4 linked regions of the Drosophila melanogaster genome follow. The protein of the gene in region 3 purifies or fractionates together with the protein of the main gene of each other region. This does not show direct contact. Each region holds a gene or a part of one and is shown on either strand. Other genes may lie near its edges. The genes, in order: Cand1, ldbr, sima and Sf3b2.

The links.
Region 1: the proteins of sima (region 3) and Cand1 purify together in Drosophila melanogaster (affinity purification with mass spectrometry, with the first as the bait; one large-scale study listed by BioGRID). This does not show direct contact.
Region 2: the proteins of sima (region 3) and ldbr purify together in Drosophila melanogaster (affinity purification with mass spectrometry, with the first as the bait; one large-scale study listed by BioGRID). This does not show direct contact.
Region 4: the proteins of sima (region 3) and Sf3b2 purify together in Drosophila melanogaster (affinity purification with mass spectrometry, with the first as the bait; one large-scale study listed by BioGRID). This does not show direct contact.

Annotation. Positions count from the first base shown.
Region 1 is NT_033779.5:10,357,634-10,364,504, forward strand, and holds Cand1 (Cullin-associated and neddylation-dissociated 1), read right to left. Parts: upstream 5,075-6,871; 5' UTR 4,875-5,074; coding exon 4,830-4,874; intron 4,765-4,829; coding exon 4,381-4,764; intron 4,323-4,380; coding exon 4,033-4,322; intron 3,952-4,032; coding exon 3,789-3,951; intron 3,729-3,788; coding exon 2,370-3,728; intron 2,306-2,369; coding exon 1,078-2,305; intron 1,016-1,077; coding exon 869-1,015; intron 805-868; coding exon 674-804; 3' UTR 501-673; downstream 1-500. Other genes in the region: ClpP (caseinolytic protease proteolytic subunit), read left to right, coding at 1-152; pim (pimples), read left to right, coding at 5,466-5,505, 5,569-5,892, 5,956-6,191. UniProt on the Drosophila melanogaster protein: Key assembly factor of SCF (SKP1-CUL1-F-box protein) E3 ubiquitin ligase complexes that promotes the exchange of the substrate-recognition F-box subunit in SCF complexes, thereby playing a key role in the cellular repertoire of SCF complexes.
Region 2 is NT_037436.4:8,120,086-8,124,122, reverse strand, and holds ldbr (lariat debranching enzyme), read right to left. Parts: upstream 2,297-4,037; 5' UTR 2,205-2,296; coding exon 2,008-2,204; intron 1,953-2,007; coding exon 545-1,952; 3' UTR 508-544; downstream 1-507. Other genes in the region: CG7550 (uncharacterized protein), read left to right, coding at 1-386; msk (moleskin), read right to left, coding at 3,112-3,308, 3,373-3,845, 3,901-4,037. UniProt on the Drosophila melanogaster protein: Cleaves the 2'-5' phosphodiester linkage at the branch point of lariat intron pre-mRNAs after splicing and converts them into linear molecules that are subsequently degraded. It thereby facilitates ribonucleotide turnover.
Region 3 is NT_033777.3:30,061,008-30,065,951, reverse strand, and holds the start of sima (uncharacterized protein), read right to left. Parts: upstream 3,031-4,944; 5' UTR 2,875-3,030; coding exon 2,414-2,874; intron 1-2,413. UniProt on the Drosophila melanogaster protein: Functions as a transcriptional regulator of the adaptive response to hypoxia. Binds to core DNA sequence 5'-[AG]CGTG-3' within the hypoxia response element (HRE) of target gene promoters.
Region 4 is NT_033779.5:3,025,710-3,030,841, forward strand, and holds Sf3b2 (splicing factor 3b subunit 2), read right to left. Parts: upstream 3,460-5,132; 5' UTR 3,379-3,459; coding exon 3,355-3,378; intron 3,298-3,354; coding exon 2,657-3,297; intron 2,600-2,656; coding exon 1,630-2,599; intron 1,574-1,629; coding exon 1,329-1,573; intron 1,266-1,328; coding exon 896-1,265; 3' UTR 543-895; downstream 1-542. Other genes in the region: Prp40 (pre-mRNA processing factor 40), read left to right, coding at 1-60, 123-407; CG17219 (uncharacterized protein), read left to right, coding at 3,711-4,223, 4,276-4,686; GABPI (beta4GalNAcTB pilot), read left to right, coding at 5,051-5,132.

The sequences.
Region 1 (6,871 bases), on a different chromosome or scaffold from region 3:
AGGAGGCAAAAGTGCTGGGCATCATTGACCACGTGCTTGAACATCCTCCAGAGACTGTTTCCGAAACGGGACCCGCGTCGGACGGCGGCGTCACCTCCGGCAAAGCCGTGCCCGAGGAGTGCGAGAAGAAGAGAAGCAAGCAGGCAGCCTAAATTTCCACCTTCCTATAGACCAAAATTCAATCATAAGTTCGAAACAATTTGAATAATTCAGTTTTCCACAGAATATACACTTTCCAAATACACCATGTCGACTTTCTCATGATTGAGCATTATTAATATTGCATCATTAATGTTTAAAAGCCTTTACGTAATCAGTTGCTCTTAGTTAAGAGAGGATGAACTGGAATTATCGTTATCTGATTGAAGAGCTAGTCTCTTTCAGGAAGAGCAAATGGATCCTATCATCCATCATTCTCCCTCGTTAAAATGCTAAACCAATCAATAAACTTTTAGTAAAATTCATAAACACAGTACTCAATACGGCATTTGTTTGTTTTTGGTTGTCGGTAGTTTTTGGGAGTGGTTTACTGTTTACTAATTAACTCTTTCAAGTCGATCTGCATTTATTTCTTATTAGAAAATTTAAAAGCTATATCAGAAAAAGAGATACTTGTTTGTGCGCAAACGCATATTCTTAATTAAGTAAAGGAATTTGAAACCAAGTTTCCCTTTTAACTCTGATCCATTACTATAATATCTGAGCTACCGGTGATGGAATCCTTCTGTATGTACTCGAAGATCTTGTTTAATTCCGGTGTTTCTTTGATCGACTTGAGGAAATCCACTAACTGCTGATTTTTGTCTATTGAAGAGGAATTTCAATTAGTTTATTTTCAGATACAATGTTCTTCAATATTTTTACTTACTTGCTTTGGGTATTTGCGAAAGGGCCGAGACTGCACGAAGGGCAGAACGCTTGAGTTCGTCCTGCTTTTCGTACTCCTGTTTCACAGAGTTGGCCTTCACCTTGTGGGTGCACGTATCACGTAGTTGCTGTATAAATTGATCGAGTCCTGAAAGAATTGAGCAAAGTGAATAAGAGATCTCAAGTAATCAAGGCTTTGGTACTACTCACTTAGCAGAACCTTATCCGGGCACAAGATGGCCAGACGTGCCGTCATCAGGTACGTCAGCATCTTGATGTCGTAGTGGTCGCACAGACCAGCCTGGACATGGTCCAGGAACTGCATGACATCCACACGATCCAAGCCCTGCTCGAGAAGTGTGTACATGCATTCAAATGCCGCTTTGCGAATGTCGAGACCGTCGTCGACGGTGTGCTTGAAGGGACCCATCTCCACCTCCCTAATCAGTTCGCTCTTCACCTTCGTCTCCGAGTAGAGCCAAGGCAAAAGGGTGGGCAGCAAATCGCGCACCAAACTGGGCTTGTTGTGTACCGCCGAATTGAAGGCTACTAGTGCGACGCGTCTCACTTGGGGCTCCGGATCTCGCAGGGCAAATAGAAACTCGCCAATGTTCTGCTTGAGCAGAACATCAATGGGCTGCGGCTGATCGGAGATGGTAAACTTTACTGAGGAGACAACAACGGTGCGCATGGTGGCGCTTTCGGAACGCAATGCCTGCTGCAGTTGCGGCAGCAGCTCGTCGGGATTGACCAGCACCAGTTTGCCCAGGCACTCGGCCACCACGTTGCGTGATCCCTCCTCCGAACACTCGCAATGCTTGAAGAGCTGATCCCAAATGGATGGCACCGAGGGTAGGAGCTGGGCGAGTCCGCTGGGCGATACCGATAGCGATGAAATGACCTCCTTAAGCGAATGTAGCAGCAAATACTGTCTCTTCGGCTGCACCTCAATCTCGTGCAGAATCAGAGGCAGGTATGTCTGCAGGCTGCCCACGGACACAGCGCCGAGAGCATGCGAGGCTGCAGCCTTTACATCCTCCGAGGTGGCCCCAAAGCATTCAATAATTGTCTGCGGCAGCACCTGTATGGAGCTCAGATCAAAGTGCCTGCCAATCTCACCGATGGTGAGCAAACAGAATATGATTTCCGTATCGTTACGCTTCTGCAGATCCGTTATCAGCTTTGTGGCCAATGGGGTCGCCACCTGGGGACACTGCTGTGTTAAGGCAGCAATGCACTTGGCCGATGAGTGATAGGCCTGCTTGTGCAGCTGCACCACCTCACTGGGAGCGCCGGCAGTGGCTCTGGATTTGACGTCACCGTTGCCACCCAGAACTGGTGCCATTAGCTTCGAAACGAGCGAATGATAGTCCAGGCCAGACAGCTGTGTTTGCACCAAGGCCTGGAACAGCTCCAACGTGCAATTCAATGCGGATCCCTGTAGCAAAGAAATCAGTTATTAGTTTTGCTAATTACTCAGCTGTTAATTAAAATTCACCCACCTGCAGCAAAGGAGATCGAACCAAAATGAGCACGGAGCGCAAGAACTGCTCATGTATGCCGACCAGAGCTTGGGGCTGCCTGCGAGCTACGGTGCTCAAAAGCGTCAGAGAGTACTGGGCTACGTGCAAATCCGAATCCGATATAAGCGGTGGGATCTCAACTATGGCTGTCTGCAGAAGGTTCGCCTCGAAGTTGCTCGAATAGTTGATGACGATCTTGTTGATCAGATCGAGGGAGTGCAGCTTGAGGGCGCGGTGGTTCTTACGCAGGAATGTGCCCAATGCGGGCAACACGTCGTGCAGGATGGGTGTCAGATCTATGCGCAGGGACGAAGCTGCGATCAGGGTCAACGCCTTCACGCTGCTCAAACGGGTTACTTCGTTCTTTAGGCGCTCCATGAAGATTGGCAGGCAAACCGCCAGCTCATTCTGCAGCATGTCGCCCATGTTGGCGATAATCTGCCCCATGCAGGCTATGGCTCGCTCCTTTACCTCCTGGTCGACATCCGTCACTTTCAGTTTCTGCAATGTGCACGAGTAAACCTGACCCACAAACGATGGGGCATCAAAGTCGGACTTGGCCGCATTCGGTTCTAATGGACGAATCACCTTTACCAACTGCTGCAGCACCAAAAGCGCCTCGGTGGCAATCTTATAGAAAGGATCGAAGACCGAAGTCACTACGAGGGGCACCAGTAGGGGAATATGTGGATGAAAGACATGCGGCGGATGTCCTTGGAGCAGCGAGTAAAGGAATCCCAGAGATTCGATCTTCATGTTGCTGGTAGAGCTTTTGTCATTCAGCGAATAGCTTATGCCTGGCACAATGCTGTCCAAGTAGGGTCCCAGGGCACCTGGTAGCGAATTCAACAGCTCGCGCAGCAAGAGGAAGCAGTCTTGACGCGTTTTCATCGATTTTTCCCTCATTAACGGCTGTATGGCTTTCACAATGAGTGGCAGCTGCTCAATTAACAGCGAGGTCGGACCCGATACCTGATCCATTGAGTCGTGGTCGTTGGCCACGTCGTCGGTGAGGCGTGTGTTCTTTAGCAGGGCCACATAGGCGTGAAATATGTCGGACTTAACATTCTCCTCACGCTCCTTGAAGCGCGCAATCAAAGCCGGACTCAGGCTGCGATAGAAGTCCTCGACGAGCTCCTGCCGTGTGGATATCAAGACCTCCAGACACTTGGCTGCAGCGCGACGAACCTTCCAGCTCATGTCGTCGTCGTCACTGTACTCCTCACTATCGACGTACTCATCATCCTCCGTGTCCATGGCATTGCCAGTGTCGCCATCATCCGTCTCGTAGTTGTAGTTTGGATCGTAGGTGATATAGTTGAGGCACAGCTCCAGGATCTAACAAAACCCATAAGCTATTAAACGTGAATGAGAACATAAAGCATGTGTACTCCTTACCATGGGAATATGCGGGTTTATGGCATCTGGGCAGCGCATGACGAAAGCTTCGCAGGCCTGCAGACAAAACTCGCGCAGCTCATCGTCATCCCGCTGGCTGTACTGGCTCAGCAGGAGCATGGAGCGATCAATGTGATTGCAAAGTCGATGGCCAGCCTGTCGACTAAAGAGTAAAGTTAAATAAAATTGCATCTAAAGATCATATGGCATAAAATATATAACAATTTCAGGAATTGGAACTTACCATATCGAAGCCAGGCACTGAATGTAAGTTCGAATGGCAGCTGGATTTGGTGGGTTCTCTAGGCCATCGAGCAGATGATCGATGACACCGTTGTAGGCGTTGCTATTGGCCTGGATCAGCAGAAATGACAGGGCCACGATGGTACGCTTGCGAACAGCCTGGCGCGATGAGGCCAACTGGGGCATCAGAGCTTTCAGAATGGTGCTGTGGAAGGGAACGAGGAACTCCCCGAAGCGAGAGAGCAGATCGGCCAGAATGTCCAGCGACTCCAGTTTCACAGAGACGTCCTCCTATTAAGGAACAACGGATTAAACGTTTGGGTGCCTAGGGAATAGCAATATAACGCACCTTCTCAATTGCTGTGCTCAGTTTGCCGGTGATCCTTTGACAGACATTTGGGGCCAGGGAGTTTGAGGACTGCGGCAGCTCGGCAATCACTGTCTTTAGGCCAATACTCGATATGTCGCGCAGCTGCTCCGTGTTGGACATCATGTTGGCGCACAGCGAGTCCACGATGGTCTCCACCTGGATCTCCTTCACCTTGTTGACCAGGGGACCCAGGCACTTGACAGCCAGGTTCTGAACTTCGCCGTTCTTGTCTTCCAGCAGCTTGAGCACCATTCGCACCACCTTTTTCTCGGACTCGTCGTCCAGGATGATGCTATCCTTCTGTAGCTCCGTCATCAGATCGTTTGTCGCCATGAAACGGAAGTCCTTGTCCGTCGACGTCATCTGCAGCAGACGAGAGAGCGGAATTAGAATTTCGTTATGTTGCAAAAATGAAATTCTATACATACTTTTTCCAGCAAATTGGCAATTTGGTGGTACTGATGTGACGCCATAGCGAAGGCTTTGAAACGTTCGATCGATAGCAATTAACTGATAAGTGAAATATTGTGTATTTGTATTGGGCTGCCCTATTTTTGGTGTTCTAAAACTTGAAAATTTACTGAAATTTTTCCGGTATTGAATCTCCAAGTTTTATATTCACTCAATTTTGTTATAAAGGCTGCTTAAGTGGGCCCACTTTGAAAAACTAAAAAACCCACTTTATAATCCCTAATGCCTTTTGGATGCCGATAATGGTTTTGGTACATTTTCGTGGTATAAAATACGGTGGAGAAATATTTTGGAACAAGATTTTATGTACTAGTAAATTTTTATATTTAGGTTATTTTATTTTTGAGTTAATACATGACAATCAAAATATAAATATATATATTATCAAATATTAATTCCCAATTTATTTACTAGTAAAATACTTTGTGTCATTACCATCGTTTCAGATGAACGATATATCAGCTATGTGGCACTAAGAGTCTCCCATCTCTAGAAAAGTGCCGCTCGTTTTCAGGAATTATTTTAAACTAAACCGCAGCTCACTGCTAGAATTCAATCAAAATACCTTTTTAACACCAATAAATGCTAACAAAATGGATCAGATTTTAAACAAGGAAAACACCGGCATTAATTGTAAGTTGAATTAGGTTCGACTCCCGTTCGTGTTAGTAATTACATAGCCATTTATCATTGCAGTGCCAGCGAATCCCATTAAAAATGGAGTTCCTACAAATTCCGTATTGAAGAAACCTCTTGGTAACCTTGACAATGTGATGCACCAAACTCCTGGAATAACCCCGTTCAAAAGCACTTCTCTGAAACTCGAGGGTAGTATTGCCAAGCTTTCGCTGCGAAAGGCCCCCAAACAAAATGTGGTCAGCAGGGATCGCGAGGAAGTTAGGTATAAAACAAATAGCTGCTTTTTGGGCGCCTACGTATTGAATTGCGAATACAGAGTCGTCAATTTGTTCAACTACACTGACTTTCCGAACGAGAAATGTTTGAAGAACTGCAGCAAGCGTAAGTACCGCTCATATTAAACAACTCCCCTTGAAAATTGTACTATAAGTTGTATTATTACAGCGGTCACAGAGACCTGGTCGGAAAATCAAGAGGGCTATGAAGGACTATTGGATCAACTTTATCTTGATCTGCGCACATTGGAAAATAATTTGGAAAACAGATGCCTTCCGCCCCTAGATTTTACTGACCTGCCATACATATACAACACAGAAAACATGGAGCCTGCAGAGCCTGAATACTTATTAAATTTATATCCCCCATTGCCTAACTTGGAAGGCATTGATGTTCTATTTTAGATCCTTGTTTAAAAGTTCTATGATTAATTGTAGTTTAATATTTTTTAGCTAGGTATCTTTGTACTACTAATTAATTATTTATTAATGTTATGCTAAGAGAAACTGTTATACCATTAGCTATCCAAGTTTGTTGTCTCGAATCACATTTGTGAAAAATATTTTTTTTACGCTACAATATATTTAGTAGTTTAAGAACCGACATTAAGCCTCCAACAGGCAATTATATGTGTACGATGTACCTCGTTTGGAAGTGATTTTGAATTAAAGCAACTATAAAAACTAACTGGGAGATTAATTTATGGAGCTTTGGAGTTCAGTTGTGAATGTAAACAGAGTTTATTGCTTCCACCTTTTGTCTCTTGATATTTATCAGCATTCGCGGGGCTTAAGTATATTCACTCCGTTTATATTGAATTTGATATTTGGTGGAATAATTCTAATCTATTTTTAGGGTTTCCTCTGTGTTTGCCTAATATGAAAAGTTTATATTTATTTGGGAATTAAACATTTTTGTTCAGTAAACCAAAATATTTTCCCAGCTAGCTAGCTTTTGTTTGCATCTTGTTAGCCTTTTCCCGCTAAATGACGTCTGGCTTTTTTCTGGTGGCCAACAGTTGGCAACACTGCGGCACAGTAATGTATCCAGTTTTTTTTACATTGCTGCAGAAAGGTTTCTCGTC
Region 2 (4,037 bases), on a different chromosome or scaffold from region 3:
GCCCGGATGAGCCGCTCACCTATGACCCCCATCAAACAGTGGTGAAGGTGAATGTCGAGGAACCCAAATTGGTCACGCCGGCTAGTCCGTGTGCCACATTGACTCCTAGAAAGAGAAATTACCACCAGATTGCCCAAATTGGTAGCGGCGTAGCCGCTTTCTTCGACATTCTTAGTCCGCCATACGATGCGGATATGCCAACATATGGACCGCGACAGTGTCGCTTCTATCGCGCCACGGCAGAGGGCAGCCAGGTGCAGCTGCACTGCATCCCATCACCGGATACATACTATTGCGATGTTGTGGACACGCCCGAATCGGTGATGCAGGCCGCTTTTCAGTGCGCCGACGAGGTCTATGCCGATAATGCCAGCGGGACACAGTGAGTCGTTATCTCGCTTCCCAGCAGCTAACACCCTCCTATTTATTTGCCCATAATCAACCGTTGGCTGATCGTATCAGCCAAGTATCTTCTGTGTTATTTAAATAAAATTGCCTCCTTTTTTTGTATAAATCGCTCCGCTTTCACGGAATTTGTTTGGGTTTAATCTTCTTGCGCTTGGTAAATGTTCTGATTGCGTCGCTTAAGTTTTTTCACATTGGGACTAGCGGGCACTGATGCAGGTTCCTCTACATGAGGCGTTTCCGTTGCTATAATTGCTTCTTCAGCTTCCTCCTCGGGCAGGTCTATCACGTTTTCATCGGTGGTATCAGCTGCTGCAGTTGTAGGTGCTGGCAGGGATAAGTTAAGTTTCCTTTTAGTTGGCGTAACCAATGGTTCAGCCACGTCTTCTTCCACCGCCTGCAGCTTAGAACTTTTTGTTTCCCTATCCTTGCATTCGGTAGCTCCCACCGCAGGCAGATCTAGGCCATTCGCCAACAAAACTAAGCACAGCGGATCGTCTATACCCAGAGTGGCACAGAACGTATTGCTCTGGGGGTTTAGTTGAACCTTGGGTTGATCCACAAACATGTGCTTATAATCAGACTGCTCCGCGGGATCGAAAGCTGGCACTGTGCGCTCAAAGTTCTCGGGGACTTGAAGTTTCTGAAACTTTGCGGTCACTGCTTCTAGTTCTTCTTCAGTGGGGGTAAAGTTTGATCGCTCTGTAAACTCTCCCGCCTTTTTTCCGGGCAGGTAATAATAATTCTCCTTCACTGAAATCAAGTGATTTGTACTGTGCAAGATGGCTAGCCACTCTGCGTCGTATTCCAGGCGGGGAGTGCCTTCGATGGGGTCACTGGGTACCTCTACCACTTGCAGGAAAGCACGACGTGGCAGGCATTTGTCGAGAGCCAGAAACTTGGTCACGGGAACAGATTTGGATGGTGGAGGTACAGGAGCAGCTTTCTTTACCTTCTCCCTTTCCTCGTCTTCATCTTCACTGCTGCTGCTGGAAGAGGAAGATTCAGCATCTCCTAGCTTCTGGCTGTGATTGTGCGGCACCAAAGCGGCAAACTTGCAATGCAAATGGGCAGCAAACCAGTAGGCCGGTTGGACCGCTTTCAGTAACTCCTCCAGTGGCTGGCTACCCAGCTTCCCGCTTTCCATGTCTGCAGCAAAAAATGGTTTCTTGCGGAGCAGTTGCGCCTTGTTTCCGTATTCATAGATGCCGGTGGGCCAGTCGTGGGACAGGAAAATATCAACTCGCCCGGAAATTTGTTTCAGCCGAAAGACTTCTAGCTGCCGCACATGGTAGACACTGCGACACGTGGAATCGGTATACGGAGGGAATTCGTGATGGCCGCGCAAAAAGTCGTGACCCTTGAAGATTCCGCTTATTCCAGCTATCCGAACACCGTTTACATTGACGACGCCGGCATAACCAAGGTAGTAAATATTTGGAGCCACCCAACCGCCGTATGGGAGCTCCTGCAGGTAATTGGAGGCCTCATGGTTGCCGCCAATGAATATGGTCAGCACTGGTGCTACCAGCTCGCCACTGTAGTATCTTTAAAAATAAATGGATTACCTCCTGATCCACAAGCTGTCGAAACTCTACTCACTTGTAAAAGGAGCACATATCCAGGTACTTCTTTGGTACAGCCATCGTCTGCAAATCCTCCAGATTCCGGGTGGACTGAAAATCGCCACAGCACAATAACAAGTCGATCTTGGTGCCGCCAACCTTTTCGATGCCCTCTATGGTGTCGTATATTCGTTCCAGCTCGCCATGTGCACATCCTTCGACAGCTATTTTCATGGTTAATAAAGGTAAGTTACTACTTTATAAATAAAACTTGGTTGTAAACAAATGCAACCGGTTGTCCAAACAAATAACGCGTTCTGATATCGCTTATCGATCGGCAATTCAGTGTGAGAAAACGTCTTTGGGGAACGACAGGATGGACGCTCTTATCGATAACTCTACTTAATGACCGCCAATATTTAAACTGCTGAAATCTTCCGGAAACAAAGTCTTTCAGCACTTAGCATTATTAAATATAATTATATATATTAGATGTACTTATAAAATTCGTTCCCTGAACGGTTTAAATACCTCACAAAAAGGTACACAAATAAGAAAAAGATTTCTCCAGTTCAAACGTTAAAAATTTTTTTTTTTTATTTTTCAAAAATATCGCTTCATTTAGTACAGAATATACGTGTATGTGTGTATAAAGAAAATGTATGTGAAATGCTCTGCGTTGAATTCTCATTCTCTGACCTAGATGCCAACTTTTTTTTGGAGTTCTACGGGGGCGTGCTGGTGGGCACAATCTCATTTAATGAGACCTTCTCGTCCTGACGTGTTTGTTTTTCGTTTCGTTTCGTTTCGTTTACATACAAAGATTTACAATGGACTTAAGTTATCATAATTTAGTTGGCCGCCCTGGCCACAAAATAGGAAATAAAATATAAATCTACAATAAATATAGTGCGGTCTCGTCGCCGCTCGACCGATCGATTTTTTAATCTGATTAATCGACCGATTGTCGCAGCATACATGGGTACACGGAGTGTACGAAAACCAAGAGAATGCCTTCAAAGCCATCATCAGCATGCCAGATGTATTTTGTTTGATGTTTTTGTTATTTTTGGAAAGAATATGAGAAACAATCAAGTCAGAAATCGAACCAAGTGTCTGGTGATCTGGTCAATTCAGTTTCTTAGGAGCCGAACTTAAACGACGTGGGCACGGCAGTCTGCGGAAAGGCGAAGCCACCTTGCTTCTCGATCAGCTTCGATTCCTTGGCGGCTTTGCGTTGGTCAGCCGTCACCACCACCTCTTGCAGCGCCTTGGCTTGCTCAGGTGTGAGGTTGGAGGTCAACAGCGCATACCAGGCTTGGTCTTGTGCAGAAAGTGCTGATGGCGAAGATTAGGTTATTAGTTAGTTTTCCAATGGTGTACAAAATTCAGCACAACTTACCAGTAATAACTTCCTTAAACGTCCAGTACTCATCGATGGCGCTTTCGTTCTCCTCATCGTCGATGGGCGTGGTAAACGACTCCAGTCCAGTCTCGTTCAGATCACCCACAGACTCCTCGGCGTCACCGTCCGAGTCAGCATCGTCGTCCTTGATTTCGGCTTTCACTTCGAAGCCCGACTCATTGCCCTTGGTTTTGGCAAATTCGGCCAATTTATCCAGATAGTCCGGTGCCATTTCGTCCATGTCATCCTCGTCACTGGACAGAGCCTCCTCACAGTCGTCACCGTCCTCCTCCTCCTCATCTTCCTCTTCCTCCTGAGCACGAGACTCGTAGGCGCGTTTTAGACCATCGAAAAGCAAAATAAGTGCGGGCACAATCTTTCCAGCCACTTCGCTCAGAACCTGGGGCTTGGCTTCGCCCAGCGAGATGAGGGTGCACAGACCCAGGACGCAAAGTTTGCGATCGTGGATGCTGGAAAACGTAACAATAAACTATCTAGATCATTAAAAAGCATGTCCATTCTTACCCTAGGAAACAGTCCGTGTCGTGAAGCCACTGCTTGATAAAGTGCGCGCTGATAGAGTCGTTGTTTTGCTGGGACATTTTGTCCAGAATGGACAGCAGCAACTGGGGATTATAGTAGAGTGCCGCGATTACCACTTG
Region 3 (4,944 bases):
CGAACTTGTATAATCCACGGGTGACGCCCATTTCAGCACGTATGTACATTTATTTCCTGGCATTTTGTTCAAAATTTGCCAACGCTGCTTTATTGATCCGCTGGGATGAAAAAAGACCTGAACACGTCAGGTGGTTCACTTGGGAAAATCTGCCCGGTAACAACGCGAAAATATCAAACTTTTTTGTTAACAAACCCTAAGTACCGCCTGTCAACGGAGGAGTCGCAATCATCAAAAGTCCATCATATCAGCCGACAAAGTCACAGTACAATATGATCTATTGTCAGTCTGCCGCCTGTCTAATAATGGCTTAAGTATCTATTAAAAACAGTATTCCCGTTTTCTTTTACTGTAAGTAAATAAATTGAATAAATCGAAGCAAACTACTTAGTTGTTGAACATAATCTTCTATTATGACATATTTAAATATGAGATAGGACCCCACTAATCGATCGATTGTAAACAGAGGAAATCTTAACATAAACAAATGCTAAACTTGACTTTGCACTCGAAAGAATTTCTATTATTAAAAGAGTATTCTGAACGCCCAGATAAAACGTTGATTAGGAAACTCTGTGAAAGTGAAGAAACAATGCATTCAAATAAATCAAAAATAAATAAAACAGAAACCAGTTTAGATAAGAGGGCTTTTCATTGTCAATCAACCAACTGATGGATGGAAACCAAAGTTTGAAGCGAAACTCGAATGGCTGCTCAAATAATTATTATATAGTATTATATTACTTCGCCAGCAAAGTGAATACTAATATAGGCGTAGACCCGTGGATTTCTATATATATTATATATGCATTAATAAACACAAATCCGATAGTTGCTAGCTCGTGGCCCATAGAAAGCGGCGGAGAGTGACTTTGAATTGCATGCTAATGGCCTGCTTAAATGGTGGGATATTCGCCGGGGGGGTGGGGTTTTGGTTTGGGAGGTATGCACATACATATATATATTTTCGATCGGCCCCATTGTCTGTTCATTAGAACAGAGGCAAGTACGGCATGTTAAATATTCTGCCTGCGCCAGCAGAATTGCCTTGTTATTGCCGCTGGTGCTGCTGCTGTTGTTGTTGCTAAGTATTTCCGCTCCAAAGCAGCTCAAAACACTGAACAAAATTAAGCTATAATATTGAAAGCACACCTTAATATGTGTACTACCCTTCCGTATGATGATTATAATGATGTAGTATGCTGATCTTAAGATACCATTTTCCGCACTTTGTGTATGAAATGAGTTTGAATATGCAAACACCACGATCGCCGCACGTGGCCATCTAAGTCCTGCTGGCTTATCCGACAACACCTTAGGATACTGACCCGCTGTTGTTTGAGTTTGAATTGCGAGCATTGCGAAATGTTGGCCAAGCTACCTCCAAGTGCGCCGTATCTCCGGGCGAGATATCAGCGAAAACACATAAAATACGACTCGAAGTGCTAATGCCAAGTTCATGGGACAGTAAATCGAGGCGCAACAGCGGGTCAGGGATGTTTGGTCTCTTCTTGGGAGCACCATATTGTGGGTGGAGTTCTTCGGGCAGCGCCGTCCTGCAATTGCGTCAGTTTGGTTTCGGCTCATTAGCATGGAGATGGGCCAGCCGAATTTGGCTTAAACGTGTGCAAAACGTAAATAAACCAAATCCGACTACCATTACGAAAACATTTGCTTGCTGCGCACGTTGCATGCAAAGTTTTCAAGGAGGTGAAGTCCAGGGAAAGGGGCTGTAATCTGCGTCAATCGCCAGATAATCGTATACATCAACCAGATGGATTGTGAAACCTTCAGCAGACCCCTAACGATAACTCCTTGGGAAATACCCCACATAAAATCATCGGCGGCAGATAACAATTACACAACAGCACAACTGACAAGCAATTTACTATTTCCACGCAACAATCGAAGTGAGAGAAAAAGTCTTTTCCAGCCCACAATCTTATAAACGGTACCTCTCTTGGGAATAACCCACCGAACCTTGACTCATACGACACCTCTCTCGCGCCATAGTTCCGTCCCCCTCGCCCTATCTTTTGCTGCGTATCTAAATATTATTATAAAAGCGATTCACAAATAAGCATAGATAAGTGCAGCGCCGTTTGCTTTCGGCTCGGGTTTTACAATGGAACACGGCCAATTTTCTAGGAGCTCAGCTCGTTCAGGTGCCTCCAGGAAAATGTAAATCGCTAGCGGCATTCGGCCACCGATTCTAACTGGTTTTTGTTTTGTTTACTTGAATGAGCTAGAGCTCTCCACAGTTATGTAACAACAATTATTAAGCAAAATTGTGTAAATATTCGTACTTGAATACTATTTGATAATGAGATTAAGGAATACCCTTCGTGAAAAACGCAAAATCACAGAATTACCCAAAACAACAAATTGACCAACCACTTTGGTCGTCACTCACATGAAATCCTCGATGTCGACAAACTGGGAGAACTGGCAAGGTTGAGTGTTCGTGGGCGCGTAGCCATAGCAGTAGGCGTAGCTCCAGGGGCGGCTTTCGCGACAGGGCGTGGCCACGTTCAGAAGCGATCCCCTCTGGCGATAGAAGGCGTCCTGGGGCTGCTGCTGATGGTACGGATGGTACCTTTGCATCCCAGTGGAGGACATATTGGGGCCGAGCATAGCGCCCACGAAGGGTTGGCTTCCGGGAGCAGGGCCATTGTAGAATGACCCGTTGCCAAAGTTCACAGTGGGTTCATTGATGGGCATTGGCCCAAAAGCTGGGCCATTTCTGCTCAGCTGCCGCTGCCGCTGCGGCTTGGAATCGCACTCGTAGAAACTAGAACCGGGGATCACATCTTCGCCGTAGAACGAAATGTCGCCGGTACACGAAAAATCGCAGCTCTCGAAGGAATTAAACATTGAGTGCGCTGGAATCCGGCTAAGCCCATCGATGATGAACACACACACGCGTGCGATAAGAGCTGATAGTGTTTTGATTTGGCCACAACTTCACTGCTCCGGATATTTTGGTAGAACACGACGTACGGGAGTTCGAGCGCTAAATGAGCGAAAGGTTCCATAGCCTCGAAGCCATCATATTTATACCTGGGCAGCCGCACCAAAAAAAATCGCAAAAGAGCGGAGAGCCGACGTGAACGTCATATTCCGTGTGCTATCAGACAAGTTTGCCTATCCGGACAAGTGCGCTCCGGCCGGAGTGATAAGATAAAGTCCGGTCCGCCCGCCTCGTAGAAGCATTCAGGTGGCAGGGAGCCAGCGCTTCGGTTCTGCCCAATGGGACGATAACAGCGAATCGAGTGAGTGGCGGATTCAAATTAGAGCCATATAAATTATGTCAGTGCGCCCCACTTCAGTCGATAATTGGCTCGGACCATATAGTCTACTTTGCAGCGACGCCGGAAAATTTCCGCACGTCCAGGACCCATTTTCCGCCCATTTCCCTCGCTCACAAAGTGCAGTGCACGGCAAAGTCATGTTATAATTTTAGAATCTCTGCACCGAGAAAACAGTGCCACTCACTTCGAAGTGAAAATTTGATATAATATTCCAAAATTTTGAGTATTTAACCGCAGAACTGATGAACCATTTTTAGGTATTTCGAAAACTAACCAAAATTCGCACACACAAAATGAGAAGAAATATTAGAGAATTGATCTTTTTCACTGTGCGAGAAAAGCTGCTTGGATGACTAAATACTATCAGACTTATCCATGATTTCCCTAGTCGGCCGATAAGAACTATAACATAGGAGTTAAATATTTGGATTAGTTTGGCAAACAGCACGGAAAGTGAAACGAGATAAGGGAAGCTAGTTCCCCAGACCAAGCAAACGTAATCAAATCGCAATGTAATCAGCTCGTGGAGAAGGCAAAGGAACAGGCAGGGTCAACTTAAATCACTACGATAACCCCTTGTTTACCTGTTTATGCTACACCCGTCTATCACTAAACTATTTCGATGTTTAAATGTATTTCATATAAAAAAACAGTAAAAGTAGTTATTAACATTGTGAGCTTCTTGGGCTTCTCTTTTTGCAGATTGCCAGGAGTCCTTGTGATCGTTAGCTATGGTCTCATCTTGCATCATTCAAGGACTATCTTATAGAAGGTCTGTCAATCCTTTAGGTTGCTACAGTAACACCCGACGACGACCAATTAATTCGAAAGATGTCGTAAGAAGTTCATTGAGTTGTGGCAAGACCAGTGGTTAATACTTAATCCAAAGGAATAGCTGTTTACAACAGAACATCGTAAAGATCTTATCCATTCCCAAGAAAGAAGTTCCTTTGTTCTTGTTAATGTTGTTAGCAAAAAAATGACTTCCAAACAGGTTTCGCAATAATCTTAATCCGAAATTTTTGCTCATTTCACAAAACCTGTGGGGAATTTTCAGCGACTGATTCCAATTTATCGCCTTAAATATAAATTTAAACTTTCCCTGCCAGCAATTGCCGAATCATAACTTACACCGAATGCGATGCATATAGACCTCACACGCAACTGAACAAACGAAAAAGATTCGGAAGCTGCGCTACCTTCACGCTGTCTCCCTCACTCCGCTTATATACGTCTCTCTCGCTGCATCAAGTTCAATTTCATACAGAGAAAGAAAATTAATAGACAAATATATTGAATATGGTACAGTAAGACTAATTTATCTTTTTCTAAGAGAGCGACTGAACTTCGGATTTTACTATTTGAAATTTGATTACCAGTTATTTTTTTCAGTGCTCCAGTAGCAAGCAAGAGTGTAAGCATGTAAGGAGAAGAAGGAGAAGATCAACAATAACTCCACGAGCCTAATACTTGAATACAATGCCATCCATCTTTCTCTTTCTCCCTACATATACAATATATATGTAGTAGCACCATAACACCCCCTCGGGCGTTTCCATCCTCCCCGGATCGTCACATTTTTAGTTCGATTGCGCAAAAAGTAGGTCGTCGTGGCCAGACATGAAACAACAAC
Region 4 (5,132 bases), on a different chromosome or scaffold from region 3:
AGCATCGAGAGCGAAAAATTGCTGAAGAAGAAAAAGAAGCGCAAGAACAAACTGCGAGGTGTACGTAGCAAGTCGGCCCAGTCCTTGGACAACTATACTATCTAACATGGCTTACATTTCAGTCCTCCTGCGAATCGGATGTTCCAGGCATTCAATCGCCGGGAACTCAAGCTCTACTTCAGAACGACTCAAACTCGCACTCACCCGCAAAGAAAAAGAAGAAGGAGAAGCGAGCTAAGAAGGACAAGCGACACAACAGGCACAATCGATCCGGCACGCCCCTTAGTCCTGCCCAGTCCGTCGAGTCGTCTGGATCGCGAAACGAGGAGCTGACGTTAAGTGACGGCGAGCTGGAATCGAAGCGAGCGGCTCTTCTAGCCCAACTCAGCGAGCAGCTCGACGAGTGACCAGCTGACAGGCGTTGAGTCAAAGCCGACATCGACATCGTGTGGCACTCTCTAGCTCTAGCTTAAGGAGGATCGGGAGAGGTAGCTAGCCCTGGACTCAGTTGCTGGACAAGTTCTCTTTTCAGTCCTTGCCTTCCACTGCACTCTGCTTCGTTTGGTTTAGATACTGTCCTGGTCCCAGCACAAACCACACAGCGAACCACAATTGTAATTTCTTAGTCTCAATAAGTTTCAATGTATAAATGAGAATTAAACCTAACGAGTCAAATTTTAAGTTATACGCAAATGATTTTGATTCTGCATCAAAATAAACAAATTACGATAGAAATTACAAGATAAGATCTTTTGTGTTAACTTCACTTTTTGCAGAACCTATTTTAAATCCTCGCATTTAAATTGAATGACGCGAACTTATTGTAGTTTTTACTATGTTTAATGACATCCTTGACAATCGCACAAATGGAAAAGTTGTATTTCTTGTTGTCAAACTAAAACTTGAACTCCTTGTACTTCTTTGTGGTCTTGGCCGGATCCGTTTGCTGTCGCTTGCGCTTCGATTTCTGCCGCGCCACATGTTCGGCCAACATGTCTGACAGATCCTCCTTTTGCAGGTGATTCTGCTGCTCACGCATTTGTTGCTCATAACGCTGGGCCATTGCGTCATTGTCCAAGTCCAATTCGCTAGGATCGAGAGCCAGTTCCACAATGCCCTCGCGATCTGTGGTTGATCGAACTGGGGGCTGTTTGTTAGCCCCACTGCCACTGACGTCGTAGACATGGGTTGATCCCATCATGGAAGCCCCTATGCGGTCGGTGCGCTTCTCAGGCAGCACTTGATACAGAACAGGAGTTTCGTTGCTAGGAGAAGTTGGAATAATGGGCTTAATCGTGATGTTATTTTAAAAATATTAGTTCACTTACTCCTCCATCTCGGCTTCAATTTTCTTCTTGCGAAGCTCAATGTTCTCGGGGGTTTCCATGCCAGCTGGAACACTGGTGAGTCCAGAGGGTGTTACTAGTCCCTCTACTGGCGTTACCAGGCCAGTCTCATCCTGCTGATCGCCCAAGTCCTCGCCATCTTCCTCTTCCTCCTCGGATGATTCTTCTGACTCCGATTCCAGTTCGCCCCATTGGTTACGTTCAATGTCAGCTTCGTCTACGCCATTCTATAAAAAAACAATGACATTAAAACAAGAAGTGCTACGCGAATGTTGCCACTCACATCAAGGTCCAATATGTTGGTTCCAAATACGTCACCGTACAGCGGTTTTCCGTTCTCATCCACTGGCGGCTTGCCCCAACCTCCGGCATGATAACCGAACGAGGTTCCGTCTGGGATCGGAGCATTCAGGCCAGGAATTTTAAGATTCGGATACGAGGGCGGCGGCCCGTAGCGCTGTTGAGCAATGAGCCATGGTGGCGGAATCTTGTGTGAGTTGGGTCCCACGGGCATTCCCAGAGCAATGCGCAACTCCTCGGAGAGATCTCCGGGCTTCTTTTCCTTAAGGCGTGTCTCAAACTCCTTGCCCTCGTAGTAGAGGTCGCCATGAATGGTCATGCGGGGCTTGGTCTGCCACTTGAAGAAGGCATCGTGAAGTTTCTGGTAGTCAATGTCAATTTTGCCCATCTTGGGACGGACGCGTTCACGCATCTTGGCCTTGAGTGTCTTGGCGTCCTCTCGTTCCTGCAACGATTCGCGCATCTCCATGATGCCCGTCTTTTTGATGAAGGCGGGGAGATCGAACGGAGGCTTCTCAATACCCCTTTTGCCCTGCAGATATTTTCGCTTGAAGCACCAATGCCGCGGCACTTGTACTGTGTTCCTATAGGCTTTCAGTTGAACCAGTAGTTTGGGATCTCTCGCTGTGACATCGTGCATCTCCACTACGTCAGGTCGAGAGACCAGTTGTTTCAGTTCTGCCACACTCAAACGGGTCAGTTTCTTAAGTTTCCGCTTGGACAGCTTCTCCTTGTCTTCCTTGCGCTCTTCGTCATCATCGCCGTCATCGTCCTCGTCCTCGAGCTGTTTGTCTGTAGCCTTTTTGTCCCTGGGATGGGACTCAGAATCGTGCGAAGATTTGTCCTTCTCCACAGGCTTTGGTTTGTTTTCCAGCTTGAAGATTTCGAACACACGATAAAACTGGCGGTACATTGGCGCCAAATCGGCAATGGTTATCTTTTCGGGCACATATCTGAAAGGGATAAGAGTTTATTAGTGTGGTTCCTCGGAACGAGCTGCTATGACTTACTCAATGGTCACATTTTCATCATTGGCCTCGCCAGCCTTTTTGTCCGTATCTTTCTCATCACTACGATCCTTCCTGCGCTTGCTGCGACTCTCTTTGCGTTTGTCCTTCTTTTCCTTTTCGGCAACCTGTTCGTCCTCGCTGCCATGGGCTTTTGTCTCCGAGTCCTTGGCCTCCGGTTCGTTCTCCTCCGCTTGGGCCAACTGCTGCTGCCGTGCGAACTCAATCTGGTGGCGTATCTTCCTGTTCTGCTTCTTTCGCTTCTTCTTCTTTTTGTTACGCTCCGCCTTGCTCTGCTTGCCGGTCTTTTGGCTGGCACTCCCGTTCACCTGGTTATCCGCATCCTCCTCGCTGTCCTCGCCCACATCCGCTTCGTCGCCGTCCTGGGTAGCACCCCCACTGCCACCCTGCGAATCGGCGTCCACCGTGAACTCGGCTGCCCTTTGATCCTTCAAAGCCAGAACGTCCTCCAAGGCCTTGGGCAGGACCAGTTCTCCGGGCGTTTTTTCGGCATCAACAGCATCTTCGGAGGCATCGCCGTCGCCATTGGCATTACCATTGCCGTTCTCATTTCCATTGGCCGCCGCACTTTCGTGCTGCTGCTGGTCGAAGCGAATGGACATGAGCGGCGTGGGTTGGCCGGGCTGGAAGGATTGGCATTCAATAGATGTCTTGCCGATTGGGTTTCGCAGCAAACTCACCTCGTTGTTCAACTGGTCCGCCATAAATTAAATTAATCTTTAAAAACCCAAACCGAGCCGAAATTTTTTTATAAACCACAATTCTAGTGATGCGCGACAAGATATTTTTGTACCACCGAGACATATCGATATATTCGATATGAAAATGCGAGACCCTAAATCAAGCTGGCAACGCAAAGGACAGGGCGATCTTAGTACGAAAAGCGTGGTTTTTGCCGACAGCTGATTTAAGGAGGTAAATATTAAAATATTTCATAGATTACCAGTTTAACAATGCTAATTTGTCCATTTCAGTACGATATTTAACAAGCAGTATCTGCTAAAATCAAAACAGTTCAACACCCTACCTTCTAAGCATGTTCAAATTTAATTTTGATGTGAAGGCGGAATCCTCGGAAGATCCAGAGGCCGTTAAAAATGATATTTTTAGCAAGCAGGAAAATTCAGAAGAACGTGAGTCGGGTATCACAAAGGATATAGATTGGTACAATTCGGAGAAAGTACAACCACTGGATAACCTAATTTCGGCAATGGATTTCTATGAGCTTAACGCCAAGGAAATGGAGGTGGGAAAGATGACGATAAAACATCTTGTGGCCGGGTTTCTGCTGGAGGATTTAAAGGAGCAATCCCACTTGGTAAACCTGGATCTCAGGAAGTCTGAGGAAAATCATTCAGATCTGATTTCCGGTGTCTACGAGGGCGGTGCTAAAATATGGGAATGCACTGAAGATCTTCTACTATATCTATCCGAAAAGTACGAGGACTCATTCTGGAAGGAGAAAAGAGTCCTAGATTTGGGATGTGGCTGCGGATTGCTGGGTATATATGCTATGAAACACGGCGCACGGGTGGATTTTCAGGACTACGTAAGCAAACAATAAGTCTTGAAATAGTTTGGTTGCAATCATATATTTTCAGAACAAAGATGTGCTGGAATACATAACATATCCAAATATCCTGCTAAATTTGGACGACTCTTTATCTGAAGATGAAAAGCTGAAATTTTTAGACAACAGTACAACCTTATATTCTGGAGATTGGTCTCATTTTGCTGAACTATCAAGGGATGTGGCGAAATACGATCTAATACTTACCTCTGAGACTATATACAATATTGCAAATCAGCAAAAGCTCTTGGATACCTTTGCTGGTCGCTTAAAATCCGATGGAGTCATTTTGGTTGCCGCAAAATCTCATTATTTTGGAGTTGGTGGCGGCCTGGAACAGTTTTCAGAGAACATTAGGCTGGGAAATGTTTTCCAAAGTGAGAGTGTTTGGCAGGCAGACGAAAACTTAAAAAGAGGAATCTTGCAATTGAAATTTAAATAAAATATATTTTGGAATTATTTATAACACAATTCTTAAACTTTGTAATAATGATAAGAGATCTAAGTTCAAAACATAGCGGTAGCATAAAACAAGTTGGCAGCCCACTTTACACGGGGCACCCTGTAAGGGAGGGACGTTCGTCAGCTGTGTTGTTGTAGTTGTCGTTATTCCGGAGAAATTGTAAGCAAATTCGTTGTACTCCAATAAAACAATTAAAATGGACCCACCCGGATCTGATAATTACTTTTGAAACATTTCTCCACTCGGCCAGTAGGGCGTGCACTAATCTAATCTAAACTGTTTCCGTACACGCTGCTCGGAACTCATTAAAAAACGTTCGCCGCGCCATTTCCTGTCCAAATCGATGTTCTTGATGACAGCCGGCACCTCCAATTTTCTTTCTGCAGCCTGGAGATCAGAGGCTGAGGAGTCCAAGAGTAAGGAGA